Styela clava: one gene and its partners. The protein of the gene in region 4 purifies or fractionates together with the protein of the main gene of each other region. This does not show direct contact. Links are inferred from orthologs where the notes say so. Each region holds a gene or a part of one and is shown on either strand. Other genes may lie near its edges. The genes, in order: histone acetyltransferase KAT2A-like, transcriptional adapter 3-like, WD repeat-containing protein 5 and cysteine-rich protein 2-binding protein-like.

What was found.
Region 1: the proteins of cysteine-rich protein 2-binding protein-like (region 4) and histone acetyltransferase KAT2A-like purify together in Drosophila melanogaster (affinity purification with mass spectrometry; 4 studies listed by BioGRID, with this or other methods). This does not show direct contact. The link is inferred for Styela clava from reciprocal best matches to the Drosophila melanogaster genes Atac2 and Gcn5.
Region 2: the proteins of cysteine-rich protein 2-binding protein-like (region 4) and transcriptional adapter 3-like purify together in Drosophila melanogaster (affinity purification with mass spectrometry; 4 studies listed by BioGRID). This does not show direct contact. The link is inferred for Styela clava from reciprocal best matches to the Drosophila melanogaster genes Atac2 and Ada3.
Region 3: the proteins of cysteine-rich protein 2-binding protein-like (region 4) and WD repeat-containing protein 5 purify together in Drosophila melanogaster (affinity purification with mass spectrometry; 4 studies listed by BioGRID). This does not show direct contact. The link is inferred for Styela clava from reciprocal best matches to the Drosophila melanogaster genes Atac2 and wds.

What each region holds. Positions count from the first base shown.
Region 1 is NC_135256.1:13,952,783-13,960,545, reverse strand, and holds the start of histone acetyltransferase KAT2A-like, read right to left. Parts: upstream 3,009-7,763; 5' UTR 2,997-3,008; coding exon 2,814-2,996; intron 2,201-2,813; coding exon 2,117-2,200; intron 1,790-2,116; coding exon 1,705-1,789; intron 1,329-1,704; coding exon 1,213-1,328; intron 83-1,212; coding exon 1-82. Other genes in the region: transport and Golgi organization protein 6 homolog, read right to left, coding at 3,632-6,730.
Region 2 is NC_135257.1:11,362,792-11,370,729, forward strand, and holds transcriptional adapter 3-like, read left to right. Parts: upstream 1-4,920; 5' UTR 4,921-5,699; coding exon 5,700-6,986; 3' UTR 6,987-7,424; downstream 7,425-7,938. Other genes in the region: protein RRP5 homolog, read left to right, coding at 7,582-7,938.
Region 3 is NC_135254.1:12,754,776-12,761,896, forward strand, and holds the start of WD repeat-containing protein 5, read right to left. Parts: upstream 3,008-7,121; 5' UTR 2,960-3,007; coding exon 2,692-2,959; intron 2,212-2,691; coding exon 2,138-2,211; intron 2,023-2,137; coding exon 1,843-2,022; intron 1,259-1,842; coding exon 1,175-1,258; intron 626-1,174; coding exon 447-625; intron 296-446; coding exon 262-295; intron 1-261.
Region 4 is NC_135251.1:27,511,595-27,519,482, forward strand, and holds the start of cysteine-rich protein 2-binding protein-like, read right to left. Parts: upstream 3,008-7,888; 5' UTR 2,938-3,007; coding exon 2,889-2,937; intron 2,230-2,888; coding exon 2,122-2,229; intron 1,702-2,121; coding exon 1,587-1,701; intron 1,471-1,586; coding exon 1,342-1,470; intron 977-1,341; coding exon 807-976; intron 392-806; coding exon 249-391; intron 1-248. Other genes in the region: nucleotide sugar transporter SLC35D1-like, read right to left, coding at 4,407-4,494, 4,933-5,094, 5,558-5,718, 6,234-6,336, 6,818-6,886, 7,115-7,254.

The DNA of each region.
Region 1 (7,763 bases), on a different chromosome or scaffold from region 4:
TACTGGGTTGGTTGAATGGTGGTGAACCAAGAGGTCCCTCTATCACTGGTTTACTTGACTGAATGATGCATTTTCTTAACAACTGAAACAAAATAATCAAAAATAATAAGCTGAGTATCCAACAGTTAAATAATTACTTAATTAGCATGTGATGACCGATGACTAGCAGTTAAAGCGGTAAACTTAAAATCGGTATGGCCGTCGCCAACTTGTGTTCAAATCTCACACCCATTAGAGCAGCGATTCCCAAACTATGGGTTGCGACCCACTGGTGGGTCACAAACGGAATCTTAGTGGGTCGTGAAAAGATGTAGAAAGCATTGGTTAATTATGCTGGTTATTAGGATCGGTGGCGACTCGAATACGCAAATCTTTAAAAAAGCAAAAGAAATTAAATTGAATTTAAATTCTAATCTGTGAAAGTTTCTTTTTTACGATCTTCTCAAAAGAACAAAAATTTGCTACACAAAGAATGACCATGTGGCTTTTTTTTTGCATAGCAGTTTTGTACACTGCACAGCACTTCTTACCGTGTTTCCCCGAAATTTAGACAGAATTTAGATTTATTTTCTTTTGAAGGATAACACTACGGTTTTTTTGGGGAAAGGGTCTTTTGTGTTCATTTATTGAAAAAAAAATTATATTGTAGAAAATCACAAGATGTTTTACTAAACATTATATAAAAACCGACATCCATTGTTTTTATTTGTATTTGCTATACAAAAATCAAGTGACAAATATCATAATTGTGATATTACACAATCTTGAATAGTGGTGTGATTTTCACCTTACCTCAGGCCAATGAACCTTTCTTCTCCCCACAAATTAAAAATTATTTTAAGGGTAGGGTTTAAATAAAATCATTTTGAAAATTTAAATTATTATCTTATTTTCAGGCCAGGTCTTATTTTTGAGGAAACACAGTAGTTTTGCGGTGATTAGCCATTGCTGTGTTTGTGTTACATCATAAAAAAACAAAAAAAAACTGAATTAGAGTTAAGTGGGTCGCCATAAGCTGTGGTAATAAATAGTGGGTCCCATCCCAACTCCAAAAAGTTTGGGAACCACTGCATTAGAGTGTATTAGGGCTTAGGCGACATTCAACCACATAGATCCTTCCAAAAATATCTCTCCTTAAATATTGATATATATAATATGCCGCCACTTGGTGGTTGTACAGAATAATCAGTAGAAAAACATTGCGATTCTCACTCTGAATAAATAGAAATAAACTTGTTTGGAATCACCATCTTCTTCCTTCTGAACACATTGAAAAAGATTTTCAACATCAACAACCATTCCTAATAATCTGTTGATTTCATCTTCTCCTGAAAAAGTATTAAAACAAAAATTTCATTGAATATTGTATTGCCTAGTTGCAATCTTCTTCAATGAATCAATGTGGACATAAATATGAGTAGGACTATACTAAATTCTATCATATTGTAATCATTTAATGAGCAAAATCTATCATTTAATTAAATCAAAAATGAAAATTTGAAGATAGCAGAGATATTTAAAAGCTTATAATTTATTTCTACACCTAACCAACGAGATAATGTTTAAAATCAATTCAAAGTTCACAAAACTAAAATTTTCGACGGAAGAGAAGTAAATTATCCGTAGGCCTACATATCATGATTTTGATCCCTAAATGCATAACAAAATAAACACATGACATAAACTGTTAAGAATGATGCATACCACTCATTTCCAAATGGGAAACATGATTCTGCAGAGCATGTGTACAACTCCTGCATTTGCTTTCTAACGTCACTGTGCTTTGAACCTGAAAAACGAATAAACAAATCAGTAATGGCATCAAAAACAAGTATTTTTCACAAACACTGCAAAAACTTGGAGGTTGCAAATTGCAGATTGAGTAGTAATCACCCGCCATTCCGATCTTCATCCAGAATAAGTATCCTTTTCATCAATCTTATTTCTTTAATTATCACACCATAGAATCAATATGAAAATCCATTCCAATGTAATATATTATCAATAGTCCACCAATATTTTGTGAAAAGTTGGAAGATTTGGTCTAGTTGAAAATAATTGCCCAACAGAAATAAGGGATTATGCTAATAATTTTGAAACCAACCTACCACCTTACCTGTTGTGATGAAGATGCATCAGGTTGAGCTGTTGCTAATTGATTGTAAGGATTTTTCCAACCGTTGCATTTACATCCTTCATCCTGAAAAGTCAGAACAAAATAAATGAAGCAATTAAAATAATTTGACATATGATGAGGATCGCTAGGCAATGGCACAATATAACCCGAGAATCGGATTTTCAAAGCTGTAGTTTATCACAATGAACCTTAGTCATTTTTGAACCTATCCCATGTGAAAAAACACAAAGAGGCATGAACCAATTTTTTTATCGTTGGGTCTTGAGAGAATGTGGTCACAAAGATGGGAAGACTTTTTGTATTATGCCACAGCATAGGCGTTGGTACAATTGTCTGATGGAATCCGAACTAACTGTGTCTGTATAAAAAGTATACATGTAGCCTATTATATTCTCCATAATGAGAGTTTCAGTATAGAAATTTCATATTTATACTGAGGGTAGGAAAGCCAACAACTGAATCAAATTGCAAGCCACGGCCTCTTGTCTGGTTACCAGTCCATGCCGGGGGCTACCTATGACAATGAGTAGTCAAGTGATCCTCTCAGTCTCTCACACATAATTCTTATAATTTTTACCAACCTATAGTAAGATGGATGGGATGTACCAGACTTTAAAAGGAAAGGTTGAATGAACATCATTTAAAAAAAAATTGATCAGCACTGATGTATACTAACCTTACATGATGAGTAAACACCAATTTTCTCAAGTTTCTTAACCCGTGGATAACCTCGAACTTGTGCCTTACGTTGTTGGATTTTTGCAAGGTTGGCAGATCGAGCTAGTTCACTTGGGACGAACGACTGCCGAGAAGATTTCTTTTGTGACGTCTCAGCTTTCACATTAGTTGAATTATCCATGTATGTTGGCTATATCAGTATTCTACAAATAGGTGGAAACATAAAATGTAAGAAATGGAAAGTTAAGGAAACGTGTCATCTATCATCAAAGGCATCAGGATCAGGACATTTACAAAAATTGTAAAAAATAAACAAATAATTGCACATTAAAAATCATTTTCATGTAAGAACATGGCTGATCAGTAAAAAATACTTATGCAGACTAAGATATTTGTCTTATTTGCAGAACAATGCAGCAATGTAGATTTGGAGTTGGATGTTTTTGGCATTGGAATTGGATCAGTGTTAAAACTTCTCGGAACCGCAGACAAGGTCGAAATATCAAATTTTTTGGTTTTGAAGTTGACCTTCCAGAATCAAAATAGTGATAAACAAAATCGAAATTTTAGACAGAAATTCATAAAGCATAAATCCGCATTGTAAACACGTAATTCATAAGTCTTGCCAAAACCCAAATTTTCGTACCAAAATTTAGTTTCATCAGAGTTCGAAACTGGAGTCTTCAGGTAACATTTTTGTTAAGTAGGTGTCAAGAGCCAATATTTAAATGAATAAGAGTTTGGAATCAGGTGTACGGTTTCCCAGAATCCGAGTCCTGATAGGCTAAGTATAACGATACAAACAAAAATTTTATGTTATATTGGCAACACTGTAATTTTCTTTGATAAAGTTTGCTTCTTAAAAATGGTTTCACGCATTATGTTATCTAGTTCTTCCAAAGCAAGCTGAGCATGTAGTTGTACCGCAGTATCCTCATCTCTTTCATATAAAAACTTCAATGTTCGATACATTTGTTTTGTAACATTAGAAAATATCTGTATAAAATTGCTACCAAGTTTAGTTATAAGATTACGAATAGCATGCACAGCTGCTCTACGAACCATAGGATCAGGATCCGATTTTGCAGTACTGCTGAGACACTCATTTATTTCTTGTTGTATTTGAGATAAATAATATGGTGCCATAGGTGCAAGTTCAGAAAAATTTGATAAACAACTTGCTCTCATGTCAGGATTAACATGTCTAGAACCTTTCAGAAACTCTGGTAATAGTATAGAAGCGTGATACGGTCCCATATCACCCATATGCCGAATTATTCTCATTATAATTTCACCCACTTTCATTTTTGCATCAATGGTATTATTTGAATTATTTTTTTGGGTTTTGGTTTCAGAATCTCTCATAAATATATTGATTAACTTTTTTAGGAGAGACTCTGAAGCAATATTGCTTACAGACAAAGACCCGATTACTGCTAAAGCTTGTACAGCAGATAAATAAACAAATGAATCCTGGTTGTCCAAGCATTCTACAAAAATTTCAACCAGTTTGTCCAATTTTTTAAAAGCAATTGGCAGTTTTCTTTCAATGCATTTAGTCAAATAACGAATTGAACCTCCTTTTATGGCAGGACTGGGGTCAAATACTTCATCTAATGATTGAGAAAATGATAGATTGAAATCTTCTTCATTAGCGATAGAATCAGTCACTGAAGTGGAATGAGTCTCTTTACTACTATTCTTAATGGTATCTTCACTACTTGAAGACTGATCCCTGCCAGAAGAATTCAAAACAGTATCCCGATCTGTATCAACAAGCAATGGTGCTGCTTGCGATGGCAATGTAGTTTCTTCATTACATTTTGGTTGGGTTTCTTTACTCAAATCCATATTTTCAAACTTTTTCATTTGTTCTTTCATTAATACTGAGAATGCATCCATTGAAGTTTCATTTACAGCGCCATACGTTGATATTGCAATTGTAAGATCCGACAACAAATCTCTTGTATGTTTATCCAAATTATTATTACCGCATATTTTTTGCAACAATGGAACCACAGACAACAGTTCACTCTTTTCTTCAGAGGTCATATCGCTCATTAGACATATTCCCAATACACTGGCACAAGTTCCTAACATTTCGAGTGAATTATTATCCAGACTTTGCAACATTGTTTTGATAAAGCTAATTATTTGAGAAACATCAGAAAGTAAAGTGTTCGGATTGTATGTCTCACACATTGTCGTTAATAAACCGAAAGTAATAAATCGAGTCTCGTTATTTTTCAAAGCTTGAACAGCTCGATCTTCAGGTGTCATTATAATTTTGTCCTCATTAATTTCATTTGGAAAATTTTTCGATGGATCGCAAATAATTTTTAAAAGTGAAATAAACACAACACCAATAAATCCGCTATTATCCATATTCGATAAAATGTCTAGCAATACATTTACTTTAATATCTTGATGTTGTAAGACTTCTGAAGGTTCAAAAAATTTGTTGTTAGCTATTGGACAAACGTTTCCATTTGCATCCACTTCAAACTTCAGATTAATCAATGGAGTTTTAATCCCAAGTTCTGTGCTTTTAATTTGCCCGTACATTGAAAAAAACATTTCCTCTGCTTTCAAGTCATCTGAACATTTTAAGGATTTACATAAAAGTTCTTTAGTCAATAAGTTTAGATGAGAAGAAGTTTCATTTGTATCACAAATCAACTGAAAGAATATTTTCAAATAGGGTTTGATGAGTGCAGAAAGTGCTACATCAGGAACAATTCCGATGGAAATACAAATATCATGTAAGTTTTCAATGCAGTCATTTATTTCTTCAGAAGAAACATTTTCATGGAACATTTTTTCTTTTCCGATTGTAAAACAGCATTCCGACAAAGGTTTACATATGATACTTTCCAATATATCCGATTCTGAATGATATTTTTCGTAAAGAGCATGCAGAGTAGTAACAGCTACTTTTCTGACAACATGCATAGCTTCAGAATTGTCTTTTCGCGAATCAGAAATCAACTCAATCGCTTGATGGCCAATCGAAATACAATATTTTTTAGCAGGAATACCCTTCGAAGGAAGGGTAGAAATAATTGAAGAAAGTGCAACTATATGCTCCCATCCAGCAGTTTTGAAATCAGAATCGCGCGAGTTTTCGACAACTGCAGAAATAATAGCTTTCATGCCCTCTTTTTCCAGCAATGTTCTTGATAATATTGATCCACATTTCTCTCGCAACCATTTTGGCGAAAGTCTTGTTTCTGGGTTTCCTTGTAGTACAAAAATCTCTTGTATAAGACGGCTTTTTGAAATCCATGATTCTATTATTTCATTAAGAACTTGTAAACATCTTTTTCGATCTTTCATGTCTATTAATCTGGCGGAATTTGGAGAAAAACATAATTGCATATAAGATGCAATAATCTCAGGTAATAAATTCTTGGTGACTATGTTTCTGATTTCAATGGCTTTGCAAATAACATGGATAAATAAGGAATTCTCAAGAAGCATTCCATATTTTTGTCTTGGGGTAAATTCAGTATAGAAATGTGAAATTTTTGAAATCATAATTCCTTGTATACTTGGTTCAAGATGAGATACAATGCCAAATTTGAACACAAATTGCAATAGGCAAGACACATGATCCACATCTGCGACTGATAAATATGGTCCTTCAGAAAGATTACCAATATTCTCAAGTTCCTTACCAAGTTTTAAAAGCAGAATTTGTATACACTGTATAAACTTTTGTAGCACAAAATATACTGATATTTTTGCCTGAGATTCAGAAAGTTCTACACTGTCAAACTGTATTTCGCTCTCTTTCAACAAATTGATAACAGTTTGATACATTCCTTCCAGGGTATGTACATCACCACTTGAAACTTCATGTTTCAATCTGATAACATCAGTGACATTTGCAATCACAGCCTTGATATCATCCATTTCTCAAATTAGGCAAAATAGATAGAGTTGAACTGCTGGACAAAAGAGGAATTGAATTAAGTCAGATAATTTCATATTTTATATGCAGGTGAAGACAGTTCAGAGACAGAGCATTAGTAACCACTCTACTAACTTTATGAGATTTTCACAGCTATATTAACCAACGGCTGAAATTCTCTGTTGAAAATAATATTCGATCTATAATTGTCATGCAGCCGACTTTGAGTTAGGTTGGATGTGCTAAAACTAAACTTTCGGGTCATGAGGTGGCATAAGACAGTTCGAGTTAGGAGTTTGATTCCCATTGCAGCCTTGGGAGTTGTTTAAACAAAATAATAAATAGATATACAAATACATCTGTAGGCTACATGTAAATTTCAGAATTTATGGGACATTTGGGCATAAGTTATTCATCACAATTCTGCAATTAGACAGTAGATATATATATACTGGCCATACTATGCCCAAAAATTCCACATGTCAGCATTTATTTGTGTATTATTCGGTTAATATTTCTGAATAGACTAATCTTCAAGGGACTGAAAATCCAACTCATAATAACGTCTCTTCACCTTGGGTACGGAAATTCTGTGGGCCCTTAGTGGGTGGGCACAAAGGTCAGTAGATTATATCACTAAAACTGGCCATGCATTTTCAGACCATTCAAAAACTAATGCCCCACTATCCATCAGAGTAACCCCAGCTAGCCCACACTCACGCTGCAATCAAGGGGTTAAAGTACTTGCGATCACGGGGTTAAAGAACTTTTATCCTTATCTTATCCTTATACTCACTGTAAAATCGCTATTCAATGAAACCTTAGTTGGCTGGACGAGCAGACTAGTTGGGGTACCGGTATCATTGTTTGTATCAACAAGTTACGATACATAAAAGTTACATACTTTTAGTATTGACGTTTGCAGTTTTGATATTTTTCCACATTCACCAAACTCTTGGCAACTCCTGCACCCTAGCACTTCACAATCATTTTTTGCAGTCGATGGTCAATTCCAATGTTTTGTAGTCTATACCC
Region 2 (7,938 bases), on a different chromosome or scaffold from region 4:
TCCGAACGTTAGCGATTGGCTGTGCCTTCCGAATTTTGCCGTGGGATGGTCTGAAAGTATTTGTTTCCTATGAGGAACAATGGACCGGGGTTCAGTGGGACATGCTCTACAGGGCACAATTCGACAGTGTTTGATACAATAAGTGCTTAGAGACCTAGAGATGCGTTATATTTTATGTAATATAATGGTTTCTTTCGACCCATGGCCCAATATGGAATATATTCGAGAATCAATAATATTTCCAGATTTAGATTCGAGGAAGGAAATAATCAAATTTTTTTGCAAAATTTTTTGTCAAAATATCTGAACTATTTCAGTTGAACATTGATTTTAAAAATATTAAATCTTCAAATTCGAAGTCTCCCCGTACTTTAGACGATTATGCTGATTAATTGCTTATTTTTAAGGGCATACTTCGTTGAATTTTGACAGACTGACCCATTGTGCCCCAGGGTCTGTCCGATTGTGCCCCACAAGTGGGGTACAGTGGGACACTTGACGTTTTTCAAAGCATTTTGGTAGTAAGATGTGTGTCGCAAGGGAATTTCTTTGTTGCTGAATAAAAACTACATTTACCCCTCTATGCATTAGTCCCGCAAACTTAAGAGAATATGCAGAATTAACGGCTCAAAATATGCAAAAGAAAAAAAGTGTCCCAACCTTCCCCACTTTCCCTCTACTGTTTTTATTTTGACAGAAGAAGACGCAACCGCGAGTTATGTTGGGCTGAATTAAATTAATATATAAGCACATTTTAGGTTCTTGTAGTTGTAATGGATTAAGTATTTTACGCGACAGAAAAATCATTTTACGCTGAGAAGGCCGCTCTTTAAACGAGCTCGTAATCGCGGCGACTGTTTCCGACGGGGATGCGAATTTCTCATTTTTAACCAATATGTGATAATTGATGTGATTCTGAATGTACTCAACTAATAGCCTATTGGACGATAACGACAATAATAAAAGCAGCGTGAAAAGTTAACAACAACGAATGAAGTGAAATGCAACAAAAGCATTCCACGTCCTGGCATTCCAAATTTAGTTTTCATCAAAATCCCTGTGCTTTGTGAACTTATACTGTGTAAGTGTAAACAGTATTTTTTATGGAATCTATCATCAAATATCCGTTACATCTGACGTTCGACTGTTCACGTTATCCTCAGCTTCGATCAGTTTTCCATGATAAACTTCACGCAGACCAGCATGATCTGATGCCAAAGTGACTATAGTCAATTTGTCTGATGCGAACTGATTCATATCGTATCGGTACTGTATGGTGGCCCATCGTTGTCACGTGTAAAATTTGAAAAAAAAAAATGATAAAATAAAATGAAAAAGCGAAAATAAAAAAATAGATGTGAAAAAACATAAAAATAATTGAAAAAAAGAAATAAAAAAAAATTGAAATTAAAAAAAAAAAATTGAAAAAAAAAACAAAAAAAATTGAAATTAAAAAAAAAAAATTGAATAAAAAGAAAATAAAAAGGTTGACAACGATGGTCCGCCTCGTGGCCCATCGTTGTGACGCGTTTTTATTTTTGAAAAATTTGATGCTGCTTGGGACCAACGTTGTCAGGCTTAATCCTACACGCACAAATGTGTTTCCTTGGTTTCTAACTCACTACTGATTTTCATGAGCAATATCCAATAAATTCAACATGAAAATGTTCTATAAATTCTCCATACTACAAGTTCAACCACAAGCAATATATTTATAATAATGATAAGAGAATATAGAATTGGATACGAAAATTTGTTTTCACGTGTAGAAGGTAATTTAATTGGAAAATGCTGCTTAACTGCGTAGTTGTCTGGACACTCGTGCGATGCCGGTACGGTACCGTCTGACCGTACCGGTACCCATGCAATCACTCATGAAAGAATGGGAGATACGGATAGTCTCGTAGAATATAGTCTACTGAAACACTCTCTGCGCCTGCCCCATACCGTACAGCCGTAACGTACCGATCCAGACAAATGATAAATCGCCCGTGCTAGATTTGGGATTAGGTTTCATGTTTAGGTAGATATAATTCCCCATGATAAACTTGTATATGGTACATGACTTTGTGAATATAGCGGTAATGGACCTTTCCCCGACCTCTGACCCCCGGAAATTCTTCCTATACTTTACCATTGCAAAATTTTTGGGGCTATTTTAAGAGTGCTTTTGCGAGTTGGTGCCTGTAAAATGGGGTATGTGTTTCTAATCATCATTATAATTCATCGCATACAACAATCTGTTTTTTTAAAGTACCGGTAAAGGATTTCAAGCTAGTCTATTACAGCTATTTCTACACTAATTTTTATTACTGCAATTAAATTAAAACTCCTGGGAAGACAGAGTGATCATTGAATTATCTGATTTATATTCAAGTTTCCGAAACACAACTAAAAACTCACGAATAGAGTTTAAAAACGCGAAAACGAGGTAATGTTTACAACCACGCTTGAAAATCTGTCTGAGTAAGAAAAATGTCTGGGCGGATGCGAAAAGTATAAGTATATAAGTATAAGGGGGCATTGTTACGTCACTTTTTGCAACTTGCTGATTGGCCAATGTCACGAAGTAAACAAGAAAGTCGATACTCGGGGAAAGGTCCATGGCGCCATAAAACCATGGCATGAGACGCCGCGGTTCGTTCGTGGCAGAAACCGCCATGAAGTGGTAAGAACTGCTCGGGCGCACGATGCTCCACACCGCCCACCCCCAACAAGGATTGATAGTTCGCTAGTTGCAGGCAGCCTGGTTTTGTGGTAATTGTCTTTGACAGTTTAAGTAATTTAAGCAGTACCGGTACCGGTATGTCACTACTAGGCTCTCGCCAGGTGCAGCACGACTGTGCTGTACGGAATCGTACCGGTATCATTAATTTATTGAATTCAATGAAACTAATTATTTTGGCGAATGATTGTTTAGTACCGGTACCGGTACCGTACGGGGGTACGGGGGTACCAGTCAGACGGTGTACAGTCCCGGTACATGGTACAGCTGTACAGTACAGTGATAGGTACCGGTACCGGTACCGTACTGTCAGACTGTACGGGGTGAGCGTGGTCTAACCATTTTCGCATATGTTATTCCTAGGCGCGCGCGGCGGTGTGGCTCATCGTGCTAAGTGTTAGGAATACGCTCACCATCACACCTCTGATTACTTTGCGTGGGTTGGCAGGTTCGCAGGTATGATTAGGTGTGTGAGGATTGCTGGACTCCTCCTGCACAATCATGCGATGTTCTTTTTTTCATTTGTAATTTTTATTCTTTGATTGATACCACCACCACCCTATATGCAAATTAAAACAGCGTTTATTGGCGCCTTGGCCGATTATAATATGACAGTATGATGCAATATCGTCCAAATCTCCGTGTATGCTATCAGATTCACAAAATGGATAGGAATTCACCATTTTTATAGATGGATTTTCGTATGCCTCGGTGAAAATTATTGAAGATGCTGTTATAAATAGTCTGAAGTGTTTATATGTACTATATAGCTTTGGAAATATGGTATTTTAAATTTTTCACCCATTCAGAAATTGCCTCATTGTCACGATTTGATTCTTGTCTAACATAAAGTAAAATTAAATTTGAGGAAATTATAATTGGCCCTACGCCCTTCTTATTCTTTCTCTTTTTTTTCACATTTTTTATTCCTATTAAAAAACATTATGATCTGCGAAATTATGTGATGTTCCCGTTTCTTGTTCCTTGTAATTTTTGTTCTTATTTCTGTACTTTTGGGGAATTGATTTCTGAGGCCTCCTAAACGGGCTTAAAACTCAAAAATTTATTATCCTCTTATTGTAATTATGATGCCTGCTTTAGAGTGTCCTGTCCTGGTAGAATCTCTCCTTAGGGGTCGGTTGACCTTTGAATTCTTGTCCATCCTCGTCCGTATATATTTTTATGCCTATTGTTGTTTGCTATGCTTACTGTATTATGTACTTGTATCGGAAATAAATCATTATCTATCGCCGCCGTAGGGTGGTTCACGTAACTGCTGGTCGGTTACGGCTTCCTCCAAGTTCATGCTTCCGAAAAACAAATCACTAATCCCTAACTGACATGGAAATGGTAACCGGACGAGAGGTTGTGGTTCGCCATATGGATAAAGATATGTAAATCCTATCCTAGACCCCACCTTACTACGCCAATGTAAAATCTCGTCATAGAGCCATATTACTGTTACAGGTACCGGTAGGTAAATGCAGAAATGTGTGTCTACTGACAGACATGCCTGAATTCTGAGATTAGTCACAAAAGAGGCCCATACAAAAAGTAGATGGAGGCTGGCACTAGAGAACATAAAGTCTTTGCAATTCCACAGGTCTCCAATTCCAAAAATAGATTTCACATTAAAATACATCACTTATGACAGTGAGTGCAAACCCCTCCTTTACGGGACAGTCTGTGCCTCCATATCGGCAAAATTCACAGCGCAATAAACTAAAAGAAAGTGTGATCTAAAGACGCCACCATCGGATCCATTGGAAAAAAAATAAACCGAATTACAGAATAAAAAAAAAATATTATATCGTTTAAGCGTGCGCGTAACGTTCAAGTGTCTTAGCAAAAAACTCAATTTCGAATATGTGATGGCCGCGATTGATTTAGATTATTTTCGAGACAAGCAGGGCACGATCTGCCATCGTGCCAGACGTCCACGTTTCAGAGATAAATAAGGTTTTTATTTTATTGAACCAAATATCGGGATATCTTGGAATCAGAAATATGTGCCCTACTGAATTCATGTAGTCACCGAGAAAAGAGATGTAGCCTACCTACCCTTTGTTGATGTCACCAACATAAGTAGACAACTCAATACAGACACATAAAATAAAGACTGCCAGGGCTCTCTATCAATCCCTGGCCTTGACATTCCTAATTTGTCTAAATTGTACTCTGGAAAGCGCAGAAATTACTGACTAACAATTTCAAGTTGCAAAAATGACATTTTATATGAAAAAGGTTGAATTCTAAAATATCCAAATTCACAGTCACAATGAAATACTGTTAGTGAATCGACTCTGCAATATTTCATACGTTTTAAGTGACCTGAGAAAATCTCAGATATTGTTTTTATTTCATACACGTTCAGTACGGCACAGTTCTCTGATTCCAAGAATAGCCCCCACATTAAGAGACATCAATTATAACAGTGAATGCAACCCCCTCTTTTATGAGACAATCTGGGCCTTCATATCGGCACAAAAGAGCACACCGGCACCGCACAATAAACTAAAAAGAAGTGCAATCCTCAAAACATCATCATTGGACACCCCGGAAAAAAATAGTTCGATTTATCAAAGGAAATAAATTTTATCAGAATATCACGCACGTTGCTATTGATTTAAATTATCATTGAGACAAGCATGACGTGATCTGCCTGCCGTAGTGTCAAACACCCTCATTCAGATACATATATTGTTATTTTTATTGAATCAAATGTCGGAACATCTTGGAATTTAAGCACTGTGTCCTACATACATTCAATTTCACAATAAATTGAATGGCGAAAATCAGAACATGTCCAGTAAAACAAGGTGTATTGCAACCTTAATTTTTACTATTCATTGATTGGCAATCATGCATCCTAAATAAAATGGTGCATATTTAATAGTTCTAACCTTATCTCTAATTAACAAACCATACTTTTGATATAGTATTGGCATTTGTATAATACAGTAACATTATTGCAATGGACTTGAAAGATTGTTTCTTACAATTTCCTGATGTGAAGCCTGTGGATCATGCTAAAAATTGTCCAAGATACACAAATATCGTTAATCGGCATAAAGATGATGGAGTATCATTGGATGAATTAGATTCTTTACAAATGGAGTTGGAACAACTACTTGCCGCTGCATCACAAAGGATGAGACAATTGAACTCGGAGATTGGCATATTGTCAGACCTACAAGACAATAAAAAAGACAAAAAAGTTTCCAGAGGCAAAGATACTGAGCATAAGCGCTCTCGAATAGTTGAAGATCGTCCAGTCAAAAAGATGAAAACATCAGACTCATCATCTCATATTCATGCTATAAAACCCTTATTTCATTTGAATAGTTCAACGTCATCACCAAGTGGTGCTGGCAGGTCGAAGGCAAAAGGCTCTCGCATTGAAACAGAAACAAATGACGAATTACCCGTTTTACAAAGGAATGCTGAAGTTCCTAATAAGTTTTGGCAAATGGTTGATACATACTGTGGGCCCATACCACAAGAAACAATTTCGCTTTTAGAGAAAATGGAAAAACCAATTTCTGAGGAATATTTTGAAATTCCCCCTCTTGGCAAACATTTCAGTCAAGTTTGGGCAGAAGAAGATTTGGCAATGGAGGAAAAAGAAGGGGGTAGAATTGGAAAAAATAATAGTAATACTGAGTCATCTATTCAGAGGATAATGAAAAAAACAGCAGAAAATTTGAATGATGCAGAACCATGCCCATATGGGTCACTTACCCAGCGATTGGTTTCTGCTTTCGTGCAAGAAAATATAATAGCGCCACTGGATTCTGGTCTTGCCAATGATGGAAAAGCATTTGAAGCTCTTACGAACAATGACCAAAATGTTGCTTCCAAAAATGGCAAGGCATCTAGTTCTCCCCATACCACAAAACTGGAGGCCCGAATAAAGGCTGAACTATATGAACAAGGTCTTATTGATCATTTTTCTGAAAATGATAAAGATGAAGATGAAGTTCTTTTGGAACTGAAACGATGTCAACAAGAATTGAGGGCAATAGGTGATAGAAATAGGACAATTGTTTCACAACTTTTGAAACTTTCCAGAGATGATATGAAAAAACAAGAATTGAGAAAAAATATTGAAATAACAAACATTGAAGTTACTGAACATTACAGAAAGGTTTTTGCTGCTCGACAGAAAAAAAGAAATTTGATGAAAAAGGAAAAAGAAAGTGCATTGAAAGCTATAAAAGAACGAGAAAGTTTGGTCAAACAGTTAGAACAATTGAACTGATTTATATTCAACGCACAGTTACAGATTATAAGTTTGGTTTGAATCTAATTGGACTCGTGGTAAACATACCCATGCACACAACCTCTATCGTGTATGGGGATGTTGAAATATCAATACCGGTAATTAGAATTCAATTAATCTAAATGGTCTATTTTTACAATAACGTGTTTCATATTTTAAACAATCATGACATTTCCCTGACAATGGTAAATTTTTTGAGTAATCTTATATGCATTTTGTTTATCAAAACTAAACATACCATGGTCATTTTGAATAGATGCTGAGTAATTTGGTTTGTCAATTGTTCCTGCAATATCTTGTATCACAACTTACGAGTTGTAGTTTAAAACCCTAATTTGAAAAGACATGAGAACTCATTAATATGATATTATGTGATGTGAGTATGTATTATTTTCTATTACTGTTGTTTCTCTATCTTTGCAAATTACACATTGTTGGAATTTTGAGAAAAATTGACTTTTTTTGGTAAAACAGAAACCTTTTTTTCTTTCCTAATGTTTATTCGTTTATCTTTTTTATACAGCAGAAATTTTGGTAAAAGTTAAATTACATTCGTAACTCTAATTTTTCGACTATGGACGAAATATTATTTCCGAGAGGAAAAGCAAAGCGTGAACCATCGACTTTTAAGAAGAAGGGTGCCAAACGCCAAGCCGCAGTTGATTCTCTGTTTTCAGAAGGAAGCAAGTCATCTACGGGTGGGCATTTTACAAAAGAAAAGAAAAAACCAAAAGAAAAAGATGAAATAATCAAAAGTCATGGTATTAAAGATGTGGATGGATTGTTACAAGGGATGGATGAAATAAATGTGGATTTTTTGCATTGCAAAAGAGTACAAGAGGGAACACTGCTGTTGGGGTGTATTCGTGAGATACAGGAACTGCAACTTGTTGTTGGTATACCTCATTGTAATACTGGTCAAGTACAAGCT
Region 3 (7,121 bases), on a different chromosome or scaffold from region 4:
ATATTTGTGTTAGTGTGCAGCAAGACGGTTTTTTATTTTTTTGATATGAGATATGGTAAGATAGGCAATTAAACATCGCAAGAGGAAATCTGCCATTCATGGGTGAGTTTTCTTTGTGAATCTTCACAGGGAGAATTTGTTGATATTTAAAGGTAACTTATTGTGCTTGTATATTTGATAAGGAACAAAGACCCATTCATTTCAGCTATTATTAAAACAGTGGCACTGAACTGACACACTAATAAAAGTGAACCAACTTACCTTTCCTTTAGTGTAGTCCCATAATTTTAAAGTGCTGGAATTAAAAACAAAGGAAAAATTAAACAAATGACACAATTGCATATCGAAAGTAATTCCATGTGTTGACTGATTTATTAATTGACAGAGTTCAAATACTGAATTTGATTTGTAAAGGAATGTAAAATTTTGCTTTCAAGCTATCATACTTATCCAAAGTTGCAGCAAGAATGTATTTTCCATTTGGTGAGAATTTAACAAAGGAGACTGGTGGGTTGTCATCATCTATCAAAGTTTTTAAGCATTGGCCAGATGCAGTGTCCCATATTCTGCAAAGTCCATCATAACTACTGGACACAATCAAAGCACCATCACGATTAAAATGAACCTGAGTATGGAACAGTATTAACATTGACCTCTAACAAAGATAAAACAATAAATGCCCAAATATCCTCAGCAATGAATATGTTTCAACCGTGTATTTTATGTTATATTAGTTGAATGAATAACAGTTAACTGTCTTATGCTAAAACATTTAATATATGTGCTTCACAAAAAGTATATAAACAGTATAAACAGTTTTGTATACTCCACCCTTACCACTTTCACCACACCAAACGACCCATTGCCCCACCTTGCACAACTGTCTATATAAGGGACCATAATATACATATTTAATCTAATGTTTTTTGTTTTATATTTGTTAAAAAGGGTGCATGCCGCACATTTGTGTTTTAGGCCAGTACGGTCTTGTGCATGCATCCCGTCTTACATAATAATAATCGTTCATTTATTTTTTTATCACTATTACGAGACGAATAAACATACATACATATCTCACTAAATCATAATGCAATCAGAAACCTGGACAAAATTACTTTCATACATATTTCTTATTCAATTTGATTGAGTTGAATTAATACCTCGTAATACTTACTGCTGATACAGGATCAGAATGTGCTGGTAACGTCTTCAAACATTTTCCTGTTTTTACGTCCCATATTCTCACACTTTCATCAAACTGCAAAAAATTTATAAATTAATGTCAGAAAATAAAAATTACAAGTTTTACAATTACCCCTACTTCAAAATATGTAATTAATAATAATTTATCCCAAAATCGGAACGAGAATATCGGTCGGAGACCGAAGACTTATCGATCTTAGATCGGTAATTAGTTAATAACTCGCTAATTATACGACATAATTAACCCAAAATCTATAGGCTTCTGGTCCGAGGTAAGATGCATGCACATGCACAATTTGGAGCAGATTCAACCACGCGTTCGTGAGATATCGCGTTCATCTAACAGACAAACATACAAACAGACAGACAGACAAATACCTATCAACATACTTACCGATCTTAAGATCGATAAGTAATGATGAAAGCAGGACAGTAAAAATATTCTGTTCTACCAGCCTTTTACTCATTTAGTAAAATTTCTTCTAATTACTTGTTTCATAAACAAAACTCAATAGATGAGCTTCACATTCATAAACTGCAGTTTGATTCATTCTTGAATTTGGCATGACCAAGATTTCGGATATCTTAGCTGTGGTCCACAAGACACAAATATAAATGAAATTTTCGAAAACTTCTCACCGATCCTGATACGATTAAATTTGACTGAGGGTTAAAATTACAGCAAAATACGTAATTGCTGTGTCCTTTGAGAGTTTTAGAACATTTTCCTGTGGCAGCGTCCCAAATCTTTAATGATTTATCATCCGATGCTGAACAAAGTAAATGAGAATCTGACGACCACGCAACGTCTGATATTCCCTGAAACAAAACAGAGGGTACTGATACAATAATCCAACAATGAAAAAATCTTAAAATTTCCAAAAATTAGATATTTTAAAAGAGGTCTTATTTGAAACATAGAAAACATGCCTACCAATTTATGTCCAGAAATTGTCTTTTCAAATTTACCATCATATGCTCCCCATATTTTGATCAATTTGTCTGCAGCTGTGATAAAAAGTATATAACATGTCAAATATAAATAATATATGAATCAAATTTGCACTATAAGACAACAAGAATTGGAACAATCAATACGGTATACTTTAGTTCATACCAACATCTGAGTCGAAAACATATAAAAGCTTAAACACAGTGCGTATGATATCCCACCAAATCTATCTTTAAAAAAGAGAAGACAAGTCTTAAACTGTCAAAGGATGTCAAAGTTTTTATCAAAGGATGAATCCAAGTTGAGACTGAGAGACAATAAATTTCCAATTTCTAGCTGAATCATACATTTTTAAATTTGTCAATGAATGTTCGGATAAAAACACTGTTGTCAACTGAAATAGCGAACAATTGCAAACCTATAACAGTGTAAAACAAGGCAAATATCAGATATAAATTGAGGTGGTATTGTTACTATTAAAAATAATAGATATAGTCTGTATGTTCACATCAACTATACACCCACTACCAACTCACATGAGCTTGCAAGCCATTGTCCATCTGGACTGAATTTAACAGAAGATACTGCTTTGGTATGACCAGCAAGTGTAAATTTGAGTGTATAGTTTGGCTTGGGTTGTACAGACTTCGATGAACTTGTTGATGCTGGTTTGGGAGCTGTAGAAGCTTTTACAGCACTGTTTTCTTCTGCGGGTGCATTGTTGCTTGGTGCAGGTGGAACTGAAGTTGATTCAGTCTTTGGCTGGTTGGAGTTGTTATCGCCAGATGGGGTATTCTCAGGCATTGTATATAAACGTTAGCAATACTATTAAAAACTATTTAAAAACAAAGCATATTTAAAAATTTCAAAGATAAGATTATTAATGAAACACTATCCTGCTATCCCTATCAGACTATGAATAAATCTCTTGAAAAGTCATCTGTAAATTACTCCTGTACTCAGAAGAAAAAAAAATAATATAGGGCATATGGCATAACACACATCGCCGTTACATTTAGAGCAGTAGGCATTTTACAAGTATCTATCAAATTACAACAAAAATTATAGGTATTCCAGTATTCATATTAGTTGATGATAGTAAATTCATTTAAAGAATCATCAGACAGTCAGAAGAGTTTGGCTTTGTAAAAAATGAGTTGGAAGAAATGGAATTGAATTTGCAAATGTGGAATCAATGAAACAGAATTATGACATCTCTTAGATATTAAAAAATATTACAGTATTATAGAAATATTTATCTCTAATCTCTGGTACGCGATTCCAACATACAGACATATGCTACTACAGTACTAGCTGTAAGTTAATTCCCTGTTCTGTTGTTAGCTAGAAATTCTAGCAAATTTCAGAATTTAGGAGAATGGCCAAAATGATATCATGTTTCATTATGATATACAGTTATGCATGAAACCTTCCAGCAGTTAGCAGATTTTCATTAACAGAAATGAACATCAAACGAATGAATTGCTGAACAAAATAAAAAGTTTAAAAATGAATTTTTAGCTTAGTGAGCTTTTTGGTTACTTTTTTGCTTTGCTAAGCGCTTAATACAGTAATATTAGAACGAACTGACGAGGTCTGAATGTGGAAACTATCATTTTGAAAATAATCTTGAATGGCAGCATTGTGATAGAGCCGAGTCAGTGTTGCAAGAAGAGATCACATTTCAGCATTCGTAACTTCTCCAACCCTCCCAGTACAGCAGTACAAAAACAAACGATATGCTGCAACTTTCTAGGTCAGCAGGCAGCAGTTAAAAAGTTCAGTTACACCTAATTTCACGTACACAAATGATACAGATTATCCGACGATATGCGGTAACAAACTGACAAGCGCCACACAAAAAACGACAATCAACACGCGTAGGCGGTGTGGCTCAAGGGCGCGGCGGTGTGGCTCAACGGGCTAAGCGTTAGGAATACGCTCGCCACCGCACCTCTAATTACTCTGCGTGGGTTCGCAGGTTCGAATCCCATGTAGGGATGGTTATGTGCGAGAGGATTGCTGGACTCCTCGCCGTCGTTGGGTGGTTCACGTAACCGCTGGTCGGTTACGGCTTCCTCCATCACCAAGTCCATGCTTTCGAAAACAAACAATACAGTAAAAACTAATCCCATACCCGACTTGGAATGGTAACCGGACGAGAGGCCGTGGTTCGCCATATGGATAAGCCGTCTCATCGGCTTTCCTCTCCCCCGGGATAAATATGTAAATCCTATCCTATCCTATCCTAACTTCTACAAATCTCATAAAAACAGCGCCATCGGTCAGCAAAGTAGGGTAGCGTTGCATTGAGTCTAAAATTGCAATTGTGAAGTGAACTTATGCATCAAGGTTGGAAATCCTATCTGAAGAACCAAATCGGCCTTTTCTGATCTTCAAATATTGAATAAAGTTAGATTTATCATTTGCTACTGACCGTATAAATTTGAAAATTTGCATTTTAATATGACGTTTGGATGTTTTTCAGAAATTTGCTGCTTTTGTAAGCGTATCAACCCGATGTTCAAAAAAGCTACTTCGATTGAAATATTTAACCACTTCTAAGGAAAATTACCGACAGCTAACATTAACATTGTCTATCTCAGTTTATTGAGGCCTGTTTGTAATCAAACGAAGTCTTTATCAGAAACAAAATTAAAAATATGCTCTTTTAGTTTCACCTAAATTTATGGCGCATAACTAGAAACTGACAAATGAGCGTCAAAACTCCGAAAACGAGTTAATGTTTACAGTCACGATTGAAAATCTGCCCCAACAAAAACACGGTCTGAGTGGGAGCTGAAATTGTTACGTTGACCCCTGTTGGGTGTCGGTTACTGCATTTCCCCATTCTAGGCTCAGCTGAAAATTCTGACGGCAACAAGGCAGTGTTCACGGCGATTCGGAACTTTACATTGACCTGTTGAATGTACGGGTCATACGATCCGCTGGTCAAGCAGCTTATGTTACACAAAGTTGCGGATTGAGACAGTCACTAGCCGTTTGAGTCGTTCGTGTTTTTGTTGACATAAACTACAATCTTGGCCTCTGCGTTAGCTTTGTATGACGATGCGGATTGAACAGCGAAGTAGTTCAATTAGACGCTTACCACTCCTTGGAATGTGTCCAACTAATGCAGTGGTTCTTGACTTGGGTTCGATGGAACCCATGGGGTTCGGTGGAGCTGTTCCTGAGGTTCGACGAAGGTCCTCGGAAACATTTTATATTATGGAACTTTTACATTACCTCGTCCACTAATTATACAAAAATAACTATAGTTGATCGCAGATAATAAAACTTAAACGTTCAACATCCAATAAATTAGCTTAGCTGTGTGTAAAGCTTCGCGCATATATAAGTTTTAGTAGACCCGTCGATGTTTTTAGATTCTAGTATGTTTTATTGGAAACTCATATTTTCACAGATGTCGCGCGCTTTAGTGTTTGTACTTATCTATGATTATCTATTATAACGTACTAATAAATTTATAATCAGTTTTACGAAAAAATCAAAGATTGGCGGTTAATGAATGCAAAATCAGGGTGCGTTTGAATTTCACTAGGTGGTAAATTTGCGACAAAGAATACTTCATTGCAGAGCTTTGCTTGAAATTATCATCATCCGTTCCAGACATCCTCGATATGGCGCCGAGTCATATCGTATCTCTATTTCTGTAAAATAAAACAATTGGCAAATTTTTTATCTGCATTTCAATGCAGTTTGAAGTTTGAGAATCGAATGACTTGAACTACCAACGTTTTTGAGGCATATTATCGTCTTTTGGATTTTTAAAATTGCTATTTTTTTATCCGGTTTGCGCCTTTTCACACGCATAACTTATACAACAAAAACATCAGCTTTCCCTGCCGACGGCACTATTGTGACAAAACAAGAGCTATTTACACACGGGGTATTGGTATCTATAGTTAGACCATAATGTAATTTTCTAAAACCTTGCACGAAATTAGCTTCTCATTTATAAAGTTAGTATTGGGGTCCAAATTTCAATCGTTCAGTACGATGGGGTTCGGTTAGAGCATGCCGAGTAGCACAGGGGTTTGACAGGCTCGGAACGGTTAATGGGCATCAAGTCAATTTGGAAACAATGAAGTTTTTTTTTAATTCGGCGCACGTGAAATACTCTCTACTAAATTATATATACATAATTTCTCGTGCAACACACATGCATTCTCATATGTTATAGGAAATTATGACTCTTGGATAGTTTCTAACATGAAATAAAACAAAAATTAGGCCATAGTCCGAAGTCAATTTTAAATAAGAAAGCTTGCACACGCCCAAATTTTCGCGATCGAAATTGTTTTGCAGACGTCAGCCTGAGTTATTTGTGAAATGGAATTGTTTATCCAATTCTATAGTTTTGATCGCTAATTTAAACATTTTATTCTACAGCACCGTACTTCTTGCCTGGGGGCTCCCGAAGCATGCGAACCAAGATGGCGGACATCGGAATGTAATATGTGTACTAGGTTAGGGTTAGGCCATAATTTCAGGTATAAATACTACGGGTGGCGCTTGGTTAGTCTTCGAACTGATAATAGGACTAAAATAAGGAAAATTGGAAAAAAATTATTGCCTAACCCTAACCTGTTACCTATGTTACGTTCCGATGTCCGCCATCTTGGTTCGCATACTTCGGGAGCACCCTGCCTGAACTCGTTGTCTGTTGTGTTACTGAAAGACTGTTTTGTAAAACGATGGCCGAATCTATCAGAGTCCATCAAATTAATAATCGGAAAAACAATTGGATTTACGGTACATTTTTGAGTGGATGACAATTTTTAATATATATATCTGATTTGCCCACACGATATTTTACAACACACTTGTGACTGTGGATCTAAAACATAATAGCTTGAAAGGGGGGAGTTGACTTTGATGACCGTCTGGTCATATCACTCCCTTCTGTCTATACCAAACTAATTCATTTTTTATTATTATTTTT
Region 4 (7,888 bases):
AATTTCTGAAATCAGATGTAACCTCATGAAAAGATATTTTCATGGATAACGCCAAAACAAATATAGACTCCGCCCACTTTGACTACTTGCTAACCGTCAAGAGCAAATAAAAGATAGCTAAAACAGCATCATTTTTGCTTTCAACATCTGACATAGTTCATGAATTTACTGAATACTTTATTTAAAATCCTACTCTGTTTTACTGAAACATTATTTTATATTTTCAATGTTCAGCTCTGCGCATTTACCTGTGTTTTAGCTCGTTTCTCTTTAATTTGTGAGGCGTTGAACGCAGATGACAAATAAGATCTTTTTCTTAATCCTTCTGTTCGTCCTAGACTGGGTGAAGGAGTCATTGCTGATCCAGATTTAAATTTTTTTGATCTTCCTTCTAAAGTAAACAATAATAAACAAATGATTTGATAAACATTGGCTAACCTTATTAAATATATCACACAGTCAATCAATAAATCAGTCAGTAATTGAAATAAGTAAAAGTGCTGTTCTATAAAAAAAAAAAGTTCTAAAAGCTCTGTGCAATTCTATATCAATAAAAAATATTATAATTGGATTGGCAAAATTAAATCAACAAATTATTATATTACAGAATATATTGGTCTTCTTCTAACCTCAGTGCTGTTTTAACTACAAAGCAAGACTTTGTTGAATAAAACAAAGAGAAAATAGCAAATAGCAGTATGGTACCGACAATTGTTGACAATAAAATATTATTTGAAAGAATTTGTTTGTTGACTTATGATCTGATACACGACAAAATCGATGAGCAAAAAAAAATATTAAAATACCTCTGAACCTCGAATCACTAGATGGAGTGTATTCGGGGGGTTTGGTAGGATCAGTTAGTTTCCACCATCCTGATTCCTTGAAAAATCCATATCCACTTGTAAATTGATGAGGGTTGCCAGCTGACATGGTTGATGCAATGGTATTCATCCAAGCCCCAACTTTCATCCTGCTGATAACGTGATATTACACAAAATTATTTGCAAAATCTTCTTATAAGTATCCTTGCAGAAGTATTTCAATAGGAAGTGGCACAATAGCCTATAAGCAACAGAAATATTGGTGTTGCAAATTAATTAAAGGTCATGCAGACCACCCTAAGACCACACCTCACGGTGATGTCAAACTGGAAGGATTTCGAGCCTTCTAAAAACAGTAGCTCCTTATGTACCAGTGGCTAATTGTACAAAGTCTGCCGTAAAAAAGCTGCATAAAAACATTTATACCTGTCTTTTTACAGCTCTTCAGTTTTTTCTGTAAAATCTAATATTTTAAATGGGAATAAATTTGACAACAAAATTTATAAGGTAAACTCACTATGACTCGAACAATACATCCCAATGAGTTTCAACAAAATCACAAATATCTTCTTTCCATTTGAAAAATCCTTGTTTCCCAGGATCAGATTGGGCCATGTTAAAAAGAGAGAGTGCAGTTGCCTGGTTCCTGTCAAAATTAATTTGGTGACATAAATAATATAATAAATAGAAACTGTTTTTTTTTTTAATTTGCTAAATAATTGGATGAATGTTTTTACAAAATATCAAATGAAATTCCCATACCATGTTATTCTCATTCTAATAAAACTTTCTTTTCCATCTTCAGAACAACTTATGCATTTGAATACGTAGTAATTATCGAACAATAGAGGGGATGGTGATTCTGAACGAAGGCAGCCTGTCATAGAGAATGGAATATATTAACGAAAAATTCCAAAAGCTAACTTCTAAAGAAACACTCAAATCATTGCTCATCTCAACTTTCATGCCTTCAAGAATACATACTCATATTTGTTAAACTTTCAATTTTTTTGTTTCAAAAATACTATTTTGGGATGCATTTAAAAAAAGTTGGTCAATAAATACATTCCAAACAAATATACCCAATCTCTGTTTCTCATAAGAATATTGAACAAATATAATAACAAATCAATAACACAAATTTGCAATCTTCAAAAACATCAATTTGAATAGCATCCATATAAAACTTTTTACATAATTACCGGTATGTTATATATTTCTTCATGTTTAAGAAAAAAAAAACATTCATTTTATAATCAAAAACGGTATAAAATAAAACCCATATGTTACAACATACTTGTGTGAACCCATTTAGCACAAGAACTGCAATGAAACACAGGTAAGCCTTCTTTTTCACAATCACAATATCCACATCTTGATGAAGTTGTCTTTGTAGAAGGCTCTGCTAAGAACAAGAAATAATATAATACAAAACACAGAAATTCATACATGACATGAATGGATCAGTAAAGAAATCTGCTGGGTCATATTCATTAAATCACTGATGTAGGATACCAAGATATGAATAGTGCTTCAGCTTTATAAACATTAGCCATTGACAAGTGCAATTGGACTAAGTTGCGAGCACTCCATAACCCTACTTACAAGTGTAGGGGATCGCGTACCATTTGCAACAATAATAAGATAGTTTTAAAAAGAAGGTGTAGGTATAACCAGCTCAATTAATAGAACATGTTTTAACATCAAGCTAAACTGAACATCAAAATTAGTTACAAAGTATTAAAAATTCCTACCAATTACTGATTGATACTAGAGGCTAGTCTGTGGCGCAGCCAGAGGGGTGCAAAAACGTAACCTCGAGTTATGTTGAACACAATTACATTAACAGGACAAGACATTTTAAATGCTCGTATCGGTTGTGAATTGAATGTATTGCGCAACGGACAAATCATAATCCGCTGAAAAAGCCAGCTTTTTATTGAGTGGCGAAATCATGATGACCGTTTTAGTTGCGTGAGAATTTCAAATTCCGATTTTGGATCCCCTAGACTCTGGCTAGGGTATGAAAACAATCGTGTAAGATTTAAATTATACAGCACAAACCTGTAGCGTCTTCTGTTGTAGTTACATCTATCTGTTCTTGGTCAGACATTGTTGCGATTTAGCCTAATGATATTAACTACATGTAGATAATAAATAATTGGAAGTGTTAAAAACATGAACTACGTGCACAGATTAACAGTGGCTAATCTACAATTGAACAAGCTCTCTCCTACAACCTTTTTTATCACCAAATCTATTAAGAAACGAGAAATTTTCAATACAAAAGGATGAACATTTTACATGGATTATTGAAAAGGGTAGTGTAAGAACTCCTAAAACTTGTGTAATAAGAATTTGAATATCAAAAAGGATTTTTGAGACCAATTTTTGGCAATAACTCAATAAGAACGGCAGTGTCATAAAACAGTGGGAAAATATCATACTGTTAGATTTCTCGAAATCAAAATTAATTGAAAGGAAGAATTCTAGATGGCAACAATATCCAAAACCAAAACACAACGCTGAGTTACCATTCATAACTATTCAGACATGGATATCCATGGCAATCATCTTAATCACAAAATAGGAGACAGCTTAATTAAGAATATTGGTCAAAAACAAAAAGCTAACACATTGTTTAGATTGCTAAAAATACTTTAAAATTAAATTTTTCCCAATATTTTTTTACATAGATGCACGATATACTGCATAATAATTATAAATATATTAAGTGTAATGCAGGAGAATATTGTTATACTACATGCCATATCACATCAGAAATATTATAGCTATGCCTATAAATATCATATTAAGCATATGGTTTGACTTGTGTGAGGTATAAAATGAAGTGTTGATGATATTACACAAATCTACAAAGATTTTACTGACACTTTTTAGAAGTATCAATACGATGCCAGCCATATTGATATAATATATTTTATATAAAGTTATTATCAAAGTTAAATAGTACATAACAATTGCTCTATATTTAGAAAAATTGGTAAGGCAGTTGGAATTAACAATAAAATTAAAAATTCTCTCATCAGCACCTAAGCATAGAAAGAAAACAATGACCACTATGCAAGTATAAGCAAGGCACAAAACCAATAAAAATTAAAGAATTGAAGATGAAGCAAATGATTAATGGAAGTTAATAAAAACTTAACTTATTGGACACAATCTTTTTACATTTTTTAGAATTGTACTTAGATAAAAATAAATCGTAACAATGTTCATTATATATTTGGGTGGCACTTTTAGCTTAAGCAGCTTTATCATGTCAAAATATTCTAAATCGGAAATATTTTTTCTTTAAATTTTGAAATACTATACAATAAATGATTTTTAAACATAACCTGTTTGAATAATAAATCTCACGCAAAACTGAATTTTTTTCTCCAAACTAAACTCATTTTAGGCTACAAAACCACCCCTAGATATGCACCTACATATTATACACTAATAGTACAAATGTAAATAATAATTTCTATAAGTTGGATATGTCTCAGTGCAATGAAGATTTGATTTGAAGTTCAATTTAAAAATAACTAATAAAAATAGTTCATTAATAGATTTCCATCATAAACTTTGTGGTTGTTTTTTTGGTTTGTTCTTTTCCTGTTGAGCTTTGAACGTAAATATTGAATAAACGATACTGCCGACAACACTGAAATGAATGAAAAAAAATTTTTTAACTCAACAATGATGGTGGTTCTGAAATAAGATATAGGAAATGTACAAAACGAAGCCATTTAATCCCATGAAAGTGTTCAATGCTTAAAAATAATTTCAACTTTTGTTTGTTTGTCTATGATTGTTTCAGTAATTTAGGCAATTCATTTCAGTAATTTAGGATAAGAGAGATTTATTATTTTGTCAGCCAGAAAAAACAAGCATCACAAGTTGCAACAAAAATGAAAATATACTACAACATACACAAAGTTTTTTGGTATAGACTGTGGGGAGCGATAGGACCATACTGTCACCAGAGTCAGCATCCCCATGTTTGCACAAAAGTCACGCTCTCTTCTTTTGGGTCACCTTGTATTATTGCAAATAAATGCTTTATAGAATAGTAAGGAAACAACTTTAATCGCTGACCTACCTTATGTTAACGCCAATAAAATTGATCCAAGAAAATAAATAATCACCACCAAACATCATTCCAAAATATGTTATTGCGATATTTTTTAAACAACCGACCACAGTTGTAGTTAATGCGGAATTATAAGCTGTGCAAACTGCTATTGAATACATCAAGATGAACCTGAAAAAAGCAATGTCATCTAATTAGTAATAAAAGGTACAATCATATTTAATCATTTTGTTTGTTTGTAAGTTTATGCAATCCAATCGATAAGGAGTTCAATGCCTGAATGAATGCAAAGAATGAGTAAACTAAAGATATTAAATCACTGATCAATTAACTACATTGCAAAGTATTTATATCATTAGGAATTTAAGTTCAAATAATCAATTTGTTGTTTATCAAGTAGAGTTTCTGTTATTGTGAAAATGAGGGGGATTTTGTGGATGAGCAGTATATTCAAAACGAGTTTGTATCACATGTTATGCCTATGCAGTTTATCAAGAATTAATCAATCTTGCGATTTATTGATCATAGTTTTCATCTCAGGGACTTATTAGCTATATGAAGAGTTGTTAGCAAAAGTATTTAGTAGCGAATTTTAATTTAGATAACAATGACATATAACAAACAAAAAACTCACCCCATTACGCATGAGAGAAGAAATTGGAAAACGAATGCAAATTCATCCCATCCTTGATAGGAGATTCCTTTCTCTAATTCACCAGTATAATAAAGAATACAGGCAGCTGGAACAAGCATTAATAAACAGTTGTAATATGTTATGCCATACTTCCCAAGATCCTGAAAATTTTAGAAAAAGAATGTCATAACATAGTTTAATTCATGAGCTTAGCTTGAAGTAAAAAAAATACACACATATAGCCTACATATTTATACATAGAAAAGTAAGAGCCAATTAATGAGATAGAAGAACAAAGCGTATCAGATTTATACTACAAGAAAGTGGAATAAAGGTTTGAACAGAGAATAAATGATAAATAAAACACATTTTCCTCACAACAATGCTTCAAATATTCAATTTATATTTGAATATATATTAATATATATGACTAAGCAGATCAGGTAAGAGATTCGGAAAAGTATTTATTATAAAAAAAATTCCTATAACAAACTGTGCCCTGCAATTCAATTCAACTACCGGTAGGTAATTTTTTGAGTGATGAAAACTGAAATACCAGAATTTTTTTCCCTGGGTCCAAATCTAAATAAGTTTAGAATATCTTAAAATTGGGAGCAAACAATTTTTCTTTAAATAAACAACTTTCATGCACAACAGAATGCATAATTTCAGATACCTGTGCATTGAGAAGTTTCTTCATAAAAACTGCATTTAATGCTGTGAAAACATCATTAGCAATAATGAACGTATATCCAACCAAATCAAATGCAAGATCATCACTAAAAATAGAAAATCAGTAAGATCAACTTGAATACAAAATTATACAAATATATACGAAAAAATAATCAGATATAAAAAGGTACTTATCATTAAATTTAATATTAATTCTTGTATAAAACTATACCCAAACTGTAATTGAAACAAGTTGGAACACATTCAAAACGTTTTTTTTACTCCGTGCCAGGTACCCTATTATATTTTTTGATGCACAATGTATTCAATTATTGCAAATCTAAATGTATTTGCAATGCATATTATAGATAATACATTGTCAAGTTTAACAGTTATCATACACTAATTACTAGAAGTAAAAGTAGGTATGTCAGTCATATTGAAATTGATTTAGAAAAATTACTTTCCTATCACGGTATGGAAATTCATGATATCAATCACCAAAACAAAATATGAATATGACATTATATTATTGTTTGTAGAAACAAACTAAATATACTATAAAACTATAACAACATCCTGATTCACCTTGCAGCAATAATTGATCCTCCAATCATCATCAAGACTGTTGAGGTGACAGTTCGACTTGCTTTCTTCCTAATATTATAGGAATTAAAGGGTCAATAACAAATACATTCAGATTCTTGATATAATTACTAAAATATTTCATATTGCCAAATTTAATAGTGAGAGACTATATGGGAAAGTTGTACATTGACTTTTTAATACTACGAATCACAATACAATGTAGTAATGCCAAATTTTGAATGAGGCACAAAAACTAAAACAAAAGCAGAGTGAAAAATATTTCTACATGAGATATACCTGAGTACAAAGAACTCTAATATCAATGTAAACAAAATAGAAAATCTTCTTAGTACAGTAAACATTGGAAGACTTAGTTTCTTCGTTCCTCCCAATCCAGCAATCAAGTTGGCGAGATATATGAGAGGTAGAGGAAAAATCTGGAAATAAAAACAGATTCGGATAATAAATATAGTGGAGAGCATGGGTGACATCTAGGTGAGCAAGCATAAGGTGAGCGAGCATAACTATTCCACTCCTATATATTTGGAATCTTATTGCAATGACTTGACTAAGAATGGGCAATTCAAAAATCAAAATACAGAATCTGGAGGATCCGTTAATGCAATTCAGTTTAAGCATCCTTGCACCATGCGACGATTTTTGTAATTTGAATATCTAATTTATTAATCATAGAATAGCATTTTCTCTTGCGTTGAAATCTCTCTTGTTAGGTAGTACTCGAGTCCACTTGCAAAACACACATAGAAGCAGTCGGCCCCAAACACAGTATTGTTAGTCTGCATATTCAGGACAAGAAGACAGTGATAAATATGTCACTGCAAAAACTCGGTATTGCATCATTTTTACGTTTTTCAGCATCATGATATAGTTGGCAAATGAAAATAATTATTGGTGACACTGGCATTTTCTAATTGAAACAAGCCTCAATTTTTGACAAACACATCATATTTCTCATACATTACATGATTTTGCGCATCCCATGAGTTAACCCAATAAATGTATGTGACCCAAAAACCAGATGTTGATGTTAAAACTTGATTTAATATTTTT